Lonchura striata: one gene and its partner. The protein of the gene in region 1 purifies or fractionates together with the protein of each later gene. This does not show direct contact. Links are inferred from orthologs where the notes say so. Each region holds a gene or a part of one and is shown on either strand. Other genes may lie near its edges.

Region 1 (7,677 bases):
TCTGACTTGCATTCTGGCATTCTAAGGTCTTATTTTCTTGAAATGTACCATAATGATACACAGAGTTACGAAAATTACTTTTTTCCACCTGCTTTGATTACAGGGTACTTTTAATGCTTTTGCTGACTTAAAGCATAAATATGGAATAAAAAAATTGCATTCCTTTATGTTAGCATAACAATGCAGATTTTGAGCAAGTCTTGCCATCAGAACTACCACCTCCTATCTGCTACTGTAGCTGGGTCCACCTTCACACTCCAAACTCCAAACCTGCAATGATCACCAACATGTTGAGAATGCAAAACTAAAGCAGAGGTTTATAAAAGATCATCTGTACTTGGTAAGCCAGGCGAAAGTATGACTGCCATTAAACTCAGTGGAAAACAGCAACTGCTTCTTGGCAACCAAAATTGCTTTCACACCAACCAATCTATTATCAGTTTGATGTTGGAAAGTAAGAAGCCATGTAAGGAGTATATAAGACTGAGATCCTTGCAAATCACAGACGTGCAAGAGGCTGCTGAAGCCTTGATATGACTGGGCTGCTCACGTGAGTGGAAATAATTCTCCTTCTTATACCCAAGTGACATGCTGATCAACCCAAGTATGGTCTTGCAAGTGCCAGAACTTCACATCCAGTGATGGATGTATTTGATAAACACCTGCAAAATGTTGCTTAACAACTTCTTTGTTAAAAGAGACTTGCTGCAAGGGTGAACTGCCCTTGTTCCACATCACTGCCTAGTCCTAAACATGCAAACAGACTGAACATCCCTCAGGTTATTTTTTCATCTCACCTACCTACTACTTTGACAGCTTCTAAGACTGCCCCTCAGATACCTTAACCACCCCTTGGGTATGACTGCCAGCTTTTGGTCTAGTGCACAGCCACAGACTGGATGAAATCAGGACAGACATACTATATTACAAAGACTTCTATTGGATACTTTAATTTACAACAATATCTGACCATCATGAAGAATATACAGATGAAAACAATGAACAGCAAGGTAAACCTTGATAGTCAGAAAATGCACTGTAGTCATCAGAGTCAACTGCAAAAGAAAGAATACCCAGGCTGCAAAACAGCCTATCATTGGACTAAATTTCTGAGGCTGTTTGGCACAGAAATCTGCACTTTGCACTGCACCATTTTCACATTTGTACAGAGACATTAAATGGAAAGGACAAAATAGAACCAGAACTCTCAAGTCCATTTGGCTCATAAAGTACATAGTTTTCCTGTTCCAGCTTCTTGAGATCAATCTAATACTTCACGCAGTCTTCAAGAATAACAGACAAGAGTAAAACGTAAGAGTCTCACAAAACTGAAAAAAAGCACCGAGAAAAAACAAAGTAACAACGACCAAAATAGTCAAAGCACTTTTAGAATATAAGAAAACACAAACATACATTTAAATTTGTTTCTTCTATTGAGTAATGGCACTTGCATGGATTGAAAGGCATTAACAACGTGCTAAGCCAATTTACTAAAGAATAATGAGGCAATACTGGATATTTATGTACTAGACACAAACTTTATTCATCACTGAAGGTTCTGAACTGCTTAGAACATTATTTACAGTTCACGCAAAAAACCTTCAAATTATCAAAGGTGATAAAGTTAAAAGCTGTTAAAACCACTCCTAGGGTTACTTTTATTTTTAAATAGGTGAGCAACTATTTTTAAACAGGTGAGCAACTAGTTCATCTAAGAGCTGGTAGCTGAACATCAGCAGAGATATATACAAACCGCTGGTACAGTCACTTACAAATTAGGATATTAGCACAGCCTCAGAAGCTGAATTAAAATGATATTTTTATTTCCTACTTGCTAGCCTTTGCTTATTTTTGCCACTTCCAAGACACAACTCCAATATGAAGCAACTTAGATGCACAGCTGAGATTGGGCTTGAATCTCATCTAGAAAACAAGTATTTGGAAATATGAAAGGAGAAATAATACAAAACATGCCTGAATTTCCTTTTTATCTTGCTGAAATCCTAAACCAGGATAAATATTACACGAAAAGTTTTATTGTGAAAACCTTCTGCAAGGTTTTCACTACCAGATCAAGAGGCATGGGACTACTAGGAAATACTCTTCACTATATAGGAAGCTCATGGCCTCCAGCCTTCTCTTCACATGGTTCTGAAGGATTAATGAGAAGAGCACTGGAAGTTCTGATACAAAGTCAGAACACGTGTTGCAAGCCAGATGAAAGATCTCCCACTGGAAAAGAACTTGCTGGCCACCTGGCGGCTGGACTAACAGTTGTGACATCTTAGGTTACTCTGATGAAACAAGGACCAAAATGTAACACAGTTTAAAATGGGTGAGACAAAGATACTGATTTAGCTGGTGGTTTATCTTCAATTTGTTCAATGTAACTGGTACATGCCACTTGAAATATAAACCACACAGGTCTTGCTTGTACTTTAAGGACTTAGAAACTTAAATTAGTAACAGAATCTCACATTTCAATGTTAAACAGTAGCAAAATAATACCCAGTCTGTTTAGTGACTACATAAAACATCTTTTGTGGCCTTACTGATACAAAAAGTGTCTCTAAAATAACACTTATCGCTCTCAGTGTTCCAGAAATGCAACAGCAGAAACTGCTTGCTTGTTTACTCCAAAGAATAAATGAACAAAAGCTACATGTGAGGTATAAACTGAGAACACAGCCTTTAGACTCTGCTACTCTGTCCTTACTTACGCTGGGTCTGTATACGATTTCCTCCGTACTTTAAATAACATTCCATTAGGCTTTTCAGGGTGAGGTTTTTCTGTTAGGTCTTTGCAAGGGCACACTGTTATCAAAGCTGTGATTTAACAAGTATGCCTAACTCTTCTAACAGAGTAGGTCAAACCGCTCACTGTGCAGTTGAATTTATTTATTGGCTCCAGAACTGTAAGTATCTAATCCCACTAAAAGAAGATTCACTTACACAAAGTTCATCATATGAAGTGGTGCAAAACATAAGAAAAACTAATTTACTTGGTCCATGCCATGCTGTATTTTGAATATTTTCATTTTCATTTGGCATTAATACTTCAATTCCTTTTACTGTTTTTTAACTTTTGGAGTTCCCATGCCAGCTTCAAATCCAAATACCTTTTACTTCTGCACCAATGGTCTTTACTAGCTGCACTACACAATTGAAACCCAGATATGGTTTCACTACCAGTAAATGTAATAACATGCTCTCTGCTGATTCTGCAACAGAACACTCAAAAATGCTGATGCATATTAAATAAAGTACATTAAATAGCTACACTGGCATTAACAACTGGTTATGATGATGATGATTTTAAAAAAAACCTCCTATACAGAAGCATTCTAGCATCAATGGAATATTTTCTCTACCACAGAAATATTCCTTTCCTGAAGGCTTAGTTTGTGACTAAGGTGACATTATTTTCTGTGTCACTTCCTATACCTATAAAATTCCCTGCTACTAAGAAATCATTGTTTTACACTTAATCATAATTAATTTTATAATTTTTTAATTTTTAGTAACATTACCCATTCATTAAATATACCCAGTCTTCTTCCCTTCCCTAAGTATACAGTTTGCTTTCTGTACCTAATACAGAACTATAATTATCCAACCCCTAGCTGAGATATGGAAGTCTTTGGAGTTGTGCTGTGACTGGAACAACTGCATAACTATAAGGAGTGCAAGGCATTTTGCATCTTGTCAGTCTCTAGTAAACATCAACATGGATTAAGAGATAGCAAAACAACTGAAAACAATTATTAATCCAAAAAAAGGACGAAAAAAAAAGGACCTTTCTCTTACCATTAAAAAGAAACAAAAACCCCAAATCCACTTCAGCTCTCCACAGCTATTGAAAAAACAAATGCAAAAAGATAAACACGCCTACAATGGTACTGTTTTTATTTGATAAGATGTTTTCACACCCATTTAACTAAAACACAGGATCCCAAACTTCCTCCGTTATCAGACCACAACCAAAACTCAGACTTGCTGGCTAACAGTACCCAATGGATTCAAGTAGTTTATAGGTGTGATTTTTCCCGTGCCTTCCGGCCCCCACTGTTCCCTCCGTATTCCCAAAGCACAGGCGCACCCGGGCAGCCGCCGGCCGGGCAGGAACCGACACGCTGCCCGCAGCTTGGGGCGAGGCAGGGAAGGAAAGGGCAGGCTGGGCGGCGGAGCCAGGGCGCGGTCCCGGACGCCGCTCAAGCGCCGTGGCAGCGGTCGGGGCCGCCCGGCAGCGCGGCAGGCGCGGGTGCCCAGCGACGCGGCACGGCGGGCACGGCCGGCGGACCGAAACCACCGCGGGCAGCAGCTACACCGGACCCCTCCACCCTCCCTTCCTCCCCCCATCCCCGGCAAGGCCCGTGGCGGGCCGCAGGGGCCGTGCCCGCCCTACCTGAGGCCGGGACAAACACCGGGACCGGGACCGGGACCGCGGCCCCGCCGCCGGAACCGACACCCACCGCGCGCGCCGCCGCCGCCGCACACGGCGCACGCGCGCCGCGCCGCTCTCCGCCCCCTAGAGGCTGTCGGGAAAAAGGCGGGCGGTGCGGTCGGCCCGGATGCATGCCGGGAGCTGTAGTCCCGTAGACCCCGCCCGGTGGCGGGGGCGGCGCTAGGGGCCGTTGCCCCGGCGAAGCGGCGCTGTCGGCGGGGATCGCGCCCTGCCCGCTTGGCTGCCCATCGGGACCGGGAGAGCCCGCTTGGCGCCGTGGGGCTTGTCTGTGGGTGCCACGGAAGCGCTGACTTTCCCTGCGCCCACGAGTATCCGGATCTGCGGGAGAGTCCGATGGCGTCGCCTGGCAGCGGCCACCGTCATCCCCCGGGAGCGGTGAGGCCACGGGGCGGGGGGTGCTCCGGGCAAGGAGACCGAAGCTGCCGCAGCCCGAGCGGCCCGCGCTCCGCCGGGAGCCCCGGGCCGGGGGCGGCGGGGCTCTCCGCTCCTGCGGGCCCCGGGCGGCGCGGGCGGCGGAGCCCGCGGCTGGAGCGACCGCCGCGTCTGCCCGCGGCTGCTGCTCTGCGCGCCTCGCTGCGGGGGCGAGTGCAGAATAAGGCAAACTGTTAGTTCAGTAGAGCTGCGATGAAACGGGGACAAAGCTGTCTCAGCAGCATCCTGGAGGGATCCCGGGCTGTCACTGTATCCTGTGTCTGGGGTATGCCAAACAGGAAACAATGGGAACCTGCGAAGATCCTCTCTTGATTGGGGTTTTGTAATTAAGATCTTGTGCTTCGCAGAGCTACTCCGGGTAAATGCAATTTGAAAGTCGAAAGCAGCTTAAACTGGAATACCCAGTGTAAACAAATGCGGAGTTAGCAGATCACATCTCCCGCGTGACTGTGGTGCTTCTTGATGTTAAGTCTCCCTCCTGTGCACATTACTCTGCTGCCCATTATACACACCCTGGTGGGAAAAGGTCAGCTCTTCCCAGTGGTGCTTGATCTCACTGCAATGGTAAGATATTTCCATGTGAGCTTGGCTCGCGTGGTTTCCTGTAGTCAGACCAGGGCACTGTTGTTCTGGTAGTACTTGAGCATACCCTCCAGACTTCCTTTTCCATCTAAGTCTGCTGAACTTTATCTGGCCGTTTTATGTGTGCTTAATTCCCTGGATAAATCCAGAAAATCTTGTGGTAACTAATACCAAATCCCCATCTATTTCACACATTTTGTAGACCCATGAGCTCAGCGCTTCATCACATGGATCATCTGTTTACTAAAACCACGGGTTTTAGTTGATGACAACAGATGAGCAAAATGATGAAAAACTTTTCACTTAAATAAATTCTTTCACACTATGTATATACTGTGGAACATAATCCGTGCATAGGTTGTGCCCCCCTACTTTACTGTAGCTGCTCTCCCACCAAGTTGGATTCAGTTGTTTATGTACAATTCAATTATGTTTTATCCTTCTGGATAAAACTTTAGGACTGATATTTTCTTAGGACATTATTTTGTAAGCTAAGGGGAAAAGATATATGAAGAGATGGAAGGTAGGAAAGGATTAACAGTAGTGAGTTTGTGTGTTTGCTTTCAGAATAGTTTTGATTGTTGAGCATTTAAAAATCCTAAATTTTACATCTCATTACTTAAGAAAAAATGAATGTGTTTAAGACTTTTGATCCTTAGACAAGTATGTTGCTGAAATCAAGTAGTATTCAGTTAACTGAATGAGTCAAAGTGCCAGTATTCTCCTTGGATTATCCTTTGCCATTACAACAAAACAGAAAAGCAATAATGTATACAAGGTGTTATCCTTGTGAAGTCATGGGTTGAATATAATACATGTTATATGATTAGCAAATATTGAAGAAATTTAGTAAATATAGGGGACCTTTCAAGTAGTTCACATACTCAGAAAGGATGAAGGTTTTTTTTATCCTCCATTAAGTGTACAGTTGTATTTCTGTGACAGCTCTTCTTTCGGAGTGCTTAGACATATTTGTTTTGGAAAGTAATATCAGTTTCAGCCTTTTATTAATGAAGGAGGTTTCAGTTGTTGAGTCTTTAAACTGCTGAATGAGGAACAGGGTGTGTGCTGGATCAGATCTCAAAATGCTGTATTCCGTATACAGCATTGCTGAAGTTATTGATTGAGCTTGATTTTTTCCTATAAAATATATACCCCTGCTGTGTCATTAGTTTTTTTGAATAATACTGCATTTACTATTGTAGTTAGCTTTATTTCTTTCTTAATTTTTATTAACCATTTGTGCTATAATAATAATTTAGGGCAATAAGTCGATTAAATATATTCTGTTCTAAATTTGGCAGAATTTACTTTTTGAAATATTGATCAGAAAGTCTAGAGACAGCTCCAAAGAACAGAATAATCCAAGATTTCCTATCCCTTCTGCCTTTTTCAGATACTGCATTGACTTTCAGGTATGTGAGAAATCACTGTGGCCCACAACAACCAGTAGGTAAGCAGTAGAAAAAGCTTTACACCACTTTCTGATGAGATTTTTCTCAGTTTCCAGGTTTATTAATGTCCTTTGTCAATTCAAGTATTCTAACCAAAAATAAATGTTTAATACAATGTCAAGAAGTTGGTGCTCACAGTATCAAACTGAAAGTGTTGTGTTTTAAATATTAGAGATAATAATTCTTGTGTTTGTTCACTGGCATAAAAATACCAAATTAAAAGATAGGGAAGAAAACAAGGATATTGAAGTTAACATACAGGTTTCATGTGTGTCCTGATCTTCACTAATAGTTTTAAGAATTCATTGAGTACGGATGGTGTAATTCTTAACATAAAGAAAAAGTATTTTTATTATAGCCTCCTAGATTGCAATAGATCAAAATGTGAACAGAATGTTGATCAGTGTTACAGTTATTAGAAGTCATCTGGTGTGTTCAGTGGCCAGCCTCCATTAAATCATTTGACCTAAAATTGGTTTGCACTGATAATACCTGATAACTGTTATTTTAATCTTTGTTCCAGGAAAAAAGAAGTCATACCTTCAATATGGCACCTGTTTTAGATTGGAGGAAGCTCATGAAAGTTGATCCAGATACTCTGCCTCATCAAGAGGAGCTAGCAGACAGATTGCTGGATATCATGGTCAAGGTGCTTGAGAAGAAGGGAACTTGAGGGTTTTGTTGTACCTTCTTCCCTAAACCATTTCTGGTCCTTCACATGCATGAAAGATTTATTTTGTGTAT
Region 2 (7,333 bases), on another chromosome or scaffold:
ACAGGACTAAAGAAATTAAAAATAAACTTTTAGGAAACATCACCTTATAAACAACGTCTGGCATGAAAGAACAGACAATGCTGCTGTTATACAACTGTGGAAATTCCTGGTAGAGTTGTTTCAGGGCATCAACTGCCTGCAATTAGAGACACACAGAGATGTTATACACACACTCATATTTAATTTACACTGCAAAGTCATTTTACAACAATCTTAAAAACACTTCCCTGCTGTGTTGCCAGATTGAAGTAGAAAGGGAGAAGAAAAATAGCATCTTGTTTATAGCATTAACACAGAAATGGTATTTTGGTTTTTAGCAAAAGAATTTCTGTTCATTATTTACAACGAGTAGGATTCTCAGTGTTTGAAATACCCTTAAATATGTCATGGATATAATTTTTTAGTACTACCTAAGCTTAAGTTGAAGAGGAAAATTATTTATTGCTATGTTTTGCTAAACTAAAGAAAGAAATTAATTTATATAAAATGTTAGTGATGGATCATTTGCATCTGCCTTCACTAATGCAAATTATAGATCCCTTTCTGGAGGCTGAAGATGAGGTTTTGACTCCCCTCAGCACCGCAGGGAATTCCCTTTGCTCTGTTTCACAGCAGTGCTGTGAGCTGAGTGCAACACTTGCACAAGGCTTGGGCAATTTTAAGCTGCAGCTTCCCAGGACAACTCTGGGTGACACAAGCAGCAGACCTGGGCTTGCTCATGTTAAAGAAGGGACTTGGTCTGAGACCAACACAACAGCAGGTCAGAAACCCAAAGAAGGGGTGAGGGGAGGTGTCATGCTGCAGTGAGCAGTACCTGGTTTGCATGGCCTTTGACATCGAAGTAGATTGTGAGATTGTGATGCATAGACTCCACAACAGCTTCTCTCAGAGTTGGTACCTTTTCATCTTGGAACTGGCTCCTGTAGAAACAGAGAACTCCTTGGAATGCAGCCAACACACACCTGCACATACATGGGCCTGCATATTGCCACCCACACAGGGCTGATTCCAGCACAGTTTGCTGCTGCACTGGAACTGCAGCTGGGATCCAGTGCTCACAGGCCCCGTGTCTGCCCCAAAACACCAGCCCCAGTTCTTCACCTCCTTCCCCAGATCCCACAAATAAGCTTTCAGTCCCAACTGCTGCCTTCCTCCTGCTCCCACTGCACTTCCCAGCCCTAGTCAGAAATGCAGATCCTGGCAGAACAGGCAAGACAAGCTGAGGATTTAGCAGAAGCAGCTTCACCCATTGTTACACTGTGACACGAAATAACTTTCAGAAGCAGGCTAGGTGTAAAAGGAAAGAAAACGAACTTTGAAAAGCAAACTTTATTTTCTAACTCCCCTATATATACAACATATATATATATAACACAAATATATATATATTTATATATATATATATAACAAAATGACAGCAGATTAGAGGGTGAAACTACCACCTCTCTAATTACACTAGTCAAACTAACAGTTCATCAATTCTCTCTACCTACAAAGAAAAACACAAAACAATCATTATTTGCATAAACAGTGTGTGAGAAAAATCAGTTAAAACATGTAAATATCAGAAAGTGTAAGAACTTTTAAAAGGACTTTAAAACTCTCAAAAAAAACCAAAGTAACAACCCATCAATAAATCATTCCTGATGGGGTGACAGTTCATTCACTCCTGACAGTGAACAGCAGCTGTTCAGCAGTCACTGCCTGTGGAAATTCCCCCTGCATGGCCCAAGTGATCACCCTTCCAGTGAGACAGGGAAGATACTCCTTGTGCCACACACTCACAGGAGGCACCTCTGCAGCTCTGGAATTCCCTAATACAGTGTCTCAGGAGCACACACTGCGAGTTCTTCCTCTGAAATGGACTCACTTATGATACTGCAGAAGTTGCCTTGTTATCAAATTCTTTGTAATTATATATTATATACATATATTATATGTATATATTATGTTATTATATGTATGTACTATTATATTATATACATATATTATATGTATATAACATTTTTATCAAATTCTTAGTAATGTATAAAAATATTTTCCCCTGCATACCCCTAGGAAGGACCTAATCAGCCACTAGGGTCACAGTGAGGCCACCACCCAAAATCTGTCCAGCTCCTCTTTAACAGTATAAACCTGATGTATAAGATCTCCAAAACACAATCAGTCAAGAAATACATGTGAATAAAACTAATCTTAGAAGTAATTCCTCTAGACAATTCTGACATATCATGAAAATCCCAGCACCTTCAGTGTCCTGCAGTCAATTTAGGACAAGCTTATGTAGATATTGACCTGTTTCACATCAGATGCCTGTGGATTTTGTCCTTGACTGTGTTTTTTTTTAATGTGTTTCACTGTTCTTAATCTACTGATGAGTAAAGAGATATAGTTTCATATGCCTAAAAAATCAAATTAGAAGTAATTTGACTAAGTTTTAGTCAAATTTTGGACTAAGTTTTAAATTAAAAGAAAAATTTAATCAGTGACAGATCAAATCAATAATGTTGTTCATCTAGAATTATTTTCCCACTGTCAAAAGTGTAATTTCAGAACAGTTCATTTACCGTAGCCTGTGTTTCGCAGATGGATCAAGCTTCCTGATTTCCTCAAAAGTCAGGTCCTGCAGTCTCCCAGCCCCATCAGTTGTCCTTTCAACTGTGTCATCGTGCATGAGGATGGGGACACCATCTGCACTAAATTCAAGATCCAGCTCCACACCCGTTGCTCCATTCTCAGCTGCCTTAAAAAAAATTTTAAAAATCACAACAGAAGAGACAGCTTTATAGATTTGACACAGGTACAGCTATAATTAGCTTGTATTTTGGTAAAAAATAATAAAACATTAATGGACTTTTCAGTTGTCTTCATCTGCAGAAAAAAAGTAGGTTTTATCCAAGTCATTGCTGAGCATTCAAAAATCAGCTGAACCATCTAATCTATTTTACAGCTGAAATCATAATGATTCTGCCTCAGTCTTGGGATTGGAACTTTCAGGATAAAAATGCAGAAAAGAATCCTGCTCTCTCCTGATGTAATAACCCTGGAGTCCTTATGTTATTTTCTAAAAGACAAGAGAAGCAAATGTCTACACTTTAACATGCAGTCAACGCTGTTCACCACGTGTATTCCAAGCAGCAGATGGATGGCAAATCCCTGCTCCTCTCAGGAATGGCTTTATCACAGAGCAAGAAGCAGCCAGGCTGCCTTAGAACATTTCATACACCCTGTTCCTGCCCTGGATCTTTCCCAAAAGCTCTTTAGAAAAACATTTGAGTAAAGTGTTAACAACACCAATTGCTCTGAAGGACAAATGCCCTCCTGGGAAAAGGGACAAACACCGGGTACAGAGGTTGCCTCCAGGTGTCTGCTTTGTAAGGAGTGTGCAGCTTCAGAATTTATCAGGACTGAGAATCCTGTCTCACACAAAGGCAAGAGATCCTCAGAGCAGCAACGTCTCAGCCTCACAGAAACACTACATTCCAGAGACTGGTAATCACTATCTCAAATGATTCTCAGAAAGAGACTGTGAATCCTGGCTGTGCCTTGGTGCCTTGCAGATGAGGCAGCAGTAAGGCATGGCAGGGCTGCCCACAGTGAATCTGGCACCAGAATTTTCTCCTAAATGTGGATTTTCATCACAGATCTTCAAGGTTTAAAAAAACACACAACCAGTTCCTGACTTGCTGTGCACTCTCTGTGTGCTGTTGCTACATCAGGGAAATCCAGTATTTCATTACTGCTGCACGGCTGAGTTACCCATCAGCACCAAGGCTACAACAGTTCCCACAAGAGCCGGATCTGAAGTTCCCTTTGGGATGAAGGACCCCCCGCCCACCCAGCTTCCAGCAGCTCTGGAAGGACGGCCGAGTTATCCGGGCGAGGGCGGCTCGCCGCGGGAGGGGCGGATCGGCAGGCAAAGCCCCGGGGCCCGCGCTGACCTGTCGGATGGCCGCCAGCGTGTTCTCGGGCGCGTCGTGCGCGCCGCCGCGGTGCGCGATGCGGCCGGCGGCGCCGCGGGGCCGCAGCACGCGCTGCGCGCTCTGGGGCGCCGCGGGCTCCAGCGCCAAGAGCTGCAGCGCCAGGTACAGCCCGGCCGGCAGCAGGCAGGCCAGCGCCGGGCTGCGGCTCAGCGCCAGCGCCAGCACCAGCAGAGCCGTCAGCGGGCTCAGCAGGCCCTCCCCGTGGCACAGCATGGCGCGGCCGGGGCCGGGGCCGGGCCGGGGTCACGGCCGCTGTCGGGCCGGAACCGCGGCCGCCGTCTCGCCGACGGTGACGGCGGCGCCATCAGCCAATCAGCACTCGGCTGTCTGCCGCAGCAGCCAATCAGCGCCCGCAGTGTCCGCGCGGCGCCCGCCTGCCGCGCTGAGGGCGGGCCCGGGCCCCAGGCTCCTCCTCAGGTAACGCCGGGAGCGGCGTGCGGGAAGAGGCTGTGCCTGATGGACACTGAGGGGAATAGGGGCTGTGCCTGATGGACACTGAGGGGAGCGGCAGGGGCTGTGCCTTAAGGACACTGAGGGGAATAAGGGCTGTGCCTGATGGACACTGAGGGGAATAGGGGCTGTGCCTGATGGACACTGAGGGGAGCGGCAGGGGCTGTGCCTTAAGGACACTGAGGGGAATAGGGGCTGTGCCTGATGGACACTGAGAGAAACAAACAGGGGCTGTGCCTGATGGACACTGAGGGAAATAAGGACTGTGCCTGATGGAACACGGGGCACTGACGGAAACAGGGGTTGTCTGATGGAACATGGGCTCTGCGTGAAACAAAGGCTGTTCCTGATGGAACACTGAGTGAAACAAAGGCTGTTCCTGATGGAACACGGGGCTCTGAGGGAAGCGGGGTGTTCCTGATGGAACATGGTGCGGATGAAAGTGAAGGGTGCTAATGGAAGGAAAGGCAGCGCTGTCCAGGGAGTCGCAGAACACCCGTGTGGATGGAAAGTGTTGAGGGCTCTCCGCAGCTATGCCAGCTAGCTAATTAGAAACATAACATCCATAGTGATTATTTTCCAGCTGTTTGCTGGGTTTGTTATAGACAGTGTTATATATAGTGTGTTCTATGCAGCCGTGCCTGTCCGCAGGCCAGCCCGGGAGCCGTGGGAGGAGCAGGCGGTGCCTCCTGCCCGGCCAGAGGCGGCTGCTGGCCAGGGAGCGCGGCTCCGGCCACCCGACACCTGTGAACATCCGCCAAGAACCCAGAGGTGAGCAACAAGGCACGAAAACAACCGGTTAAGTGAAGGGTGGGGAACCTGAGCAGGATTAGTCTAGAAGTGGGATAGCAAAGTGAGGAACTAGCAGTTTGTGTTGATGTGACTGGGGGGTTTGACCCTCTTTGGGTATCTGTGGGAAGTATGGGAAGCAACTGACTTTCCAGTGAGGAGCTCTGTCCAACTAGAGGTAGAACAGGCACAAGACCATGTTCTGAATGGTTGTAGTTTTTTTTTTTTTTTTTTTTTTTTTTTTTTTTGGTTTAGTTTTGTTTTTTGTTTAAATTGCTGAGATGAAGATTTGTCACATAATGTCCTAGCTGGTTCTGAGCATCTCAGATACTCTGTTAGTGGCTTTGCGCTTCTGCCAGGTGTAGCTGAAGAAAAATCAGAGATATACATGCAATTGCACAACAATTAATGGGCTGTCTAATTAGATGTCTAACATACTTTTAAAACCTTTTGATAAACAATAGCATTTGTTAAGATTAAAGATGAAATTTAAAAAAATAAATCCCCTCAATGATCGCTGAAGAGGTAACAGATGATGAACTTATTTTTTGAAACTAGAATGACAGCTTTAACAGCTCTAAATGCTGGGAATTAGATGCGTCCATATATTTAAATTAATTATGCCTGGCAAACAAGTGTGGATTTCCCTTCCACCTGACCTGCCTGACAGGTGAGTGTTACCTGCTGCTGGACTGGCTAGACCGGCAGCTGGCTGCAGCCCGGGCGGGAGGGATAGGATGTCTGGTGATGCCCGCATGGATGCTGTCCTGGTGGATGCTGTCCTCGCAGAGCATGGCAACAGGTGCTCACCTTTATCTCTCTTATCTTAGCGTGCTCGCTGAAACTGATACCTGCAGCGGCACATCCACAGGGACCGCACAGCCGTGTGGTCTGTAATGGGATGAAGCAGAACAGATCACACCCGTGCTCGCAGGGGAGCTTATCTGGGGGAGCTGTGGGTGGAAATGGGAGCTGCGGGACGGCGCTGCAGCCCCTGTCACCGGGCTGGGCCGGGGCTGCCTTCGCTGTCCCGCGGTGCGAGCGCACACGGTGTCGGCGGCGCCGGGCCCCCGTGCTCTGGGGGCGGAGCGGCGGGCGGGGCGCGCCGGGCCCGTGGAGCGGCGGCCCGGCCGTTGCGCGGCGGTTGCCGGAGCTGCCGCCAGTCCCGCGCAGGTACCGAGCGTTGGACGGGCCCGGGCCCGGGGGGAGCGCCGGGGCGGGGCGGGCGTGCATCGGCCCCGGCTGGGGCGGGCTCCGTGCCCCGCAGCGGCGGGCAGGAACCGGCCGAAGCGGCGTGCCGGCGAACAAAGCCTTGTCAGGCCTTGCCCGGCGCTGCGGGGCTCGCTCCGGTGGGGACGGGCAGTGAGACATCTTTCAGGTATTTGGCCGCTTTTAAGGATACGAGGCTGCAATTTGATTTTTTTTTTTTTTTCTTTGTGATGTAAGTATTGGCGTCTGTTCATACAGACGTGGAAGCTCGCGGGAGTGAGACACGAATTCCTCTCAGCCCCCTAAACATATAAAGGCTTTTTATTTTTTTTTAATTTTTTTTTTTAATTCAATTGGGCTGCAGGTTTGTTTGGGCCGGGTTTTGGGGTTTTTGTAACAATTGATAGGATGTGTCTCGTTGTGGAAGATCTCAAAGGTTTAGTCTTTGATGGAAATTATCTATAGTAGGTACAGTTTTGTAAATCCTAATTATCACAATGCGTGCTTTCTTCTCTGTGTGCCCGTGATCATAATTTTTGCTCTTACATGCAGATTCTCCTTTAATAGGGGAAAATAAGGAAGAATTTTGCAGGCTTTGTTAATGGTAGAAAGAAGACAAACTTAATTCAGTTTTCTAACGTAGAATTTGCTTCCCAAAACGTAGAGACACAGAATTAGTGGTGTTATTGTTTTCCCCTTCAGTGTCTTGGAAGTACATGGATGAGTAATGTTATTATTCTTTGCAGGTTAGACAACATGAAGATGGAGGACTATGAAATATTCTGTAGGAAGCATCTTTCCAGAATCCAAGAAGAGGCAATAAAAGGAAAAACCTCCTTGACTGTTCAGAACAAAAATATCTCCCTCATTCAATTCTATGGAGTTCCTGTGCTTTCCCCTCT

Evidence for each region. The genes of interacting proteins can lie anywhere in the genome.
Region 2: the proteins of CEP290 (region 1) and CCP110 purify together in Homo sapiens (co-immunoprecipitation; 6 studies listed by BioGRID and IntAct, with this or other methods). This does not show direct contact. The link is inferred for Lonchura striata from reciprocal best matches to the Homo sapiens genes CEP290 and CCP110.

The regions. Positions count from the first base shown.
Region 1 is NC_134607.1:51,705,073-51,712,749, reverse strand, and holds the start of CEP290 (centrosomal protein of 290 kDa), read left to right. Parts: upstream 1-4,593; 5' UTR 4,594-4,840; intron 4,841-5,244; 5' UTR 5,245-5,461; intron 5,462-6,875; 5' UTR 6,876-6,932; intron 6,933-7,456; 5' UTR 7,457-7,480; coding exon 7,481-7,582; intron 7,583-7,677. UniProt on the Homo sapiens protein: Involved in early and late steps in cilia formation. Its association with CCP110 is required for inhibition of primary cilia formation by CCP110.
Region 2 is NC_134618.1:10,063,422-10,070,754, forward strand, and holds the start of CCP110 (centriolar coiled-coil protein of 110 kDa), read left to right. Parts: upstream 1-4,275; 5' UTR 4,276-4,400; intron 4,401-5,068; 5' UTR 5,069-5,204; intron 5,205-6,309; exon of another isoform or gene 6,310-6,395; intron 6,396-6,477; exon of another isoform or gene 6,478-6,600; intron 6,601-7,177; 5' UTR 7,178-7,187; coding exon 7,188-7,333. Other genes in the region: GDE1 (glycerophosphodiester phosphodiesterase 1), read right to left, coding at 44-136, 815-920, 2,568-2,743, 3,942-4,196.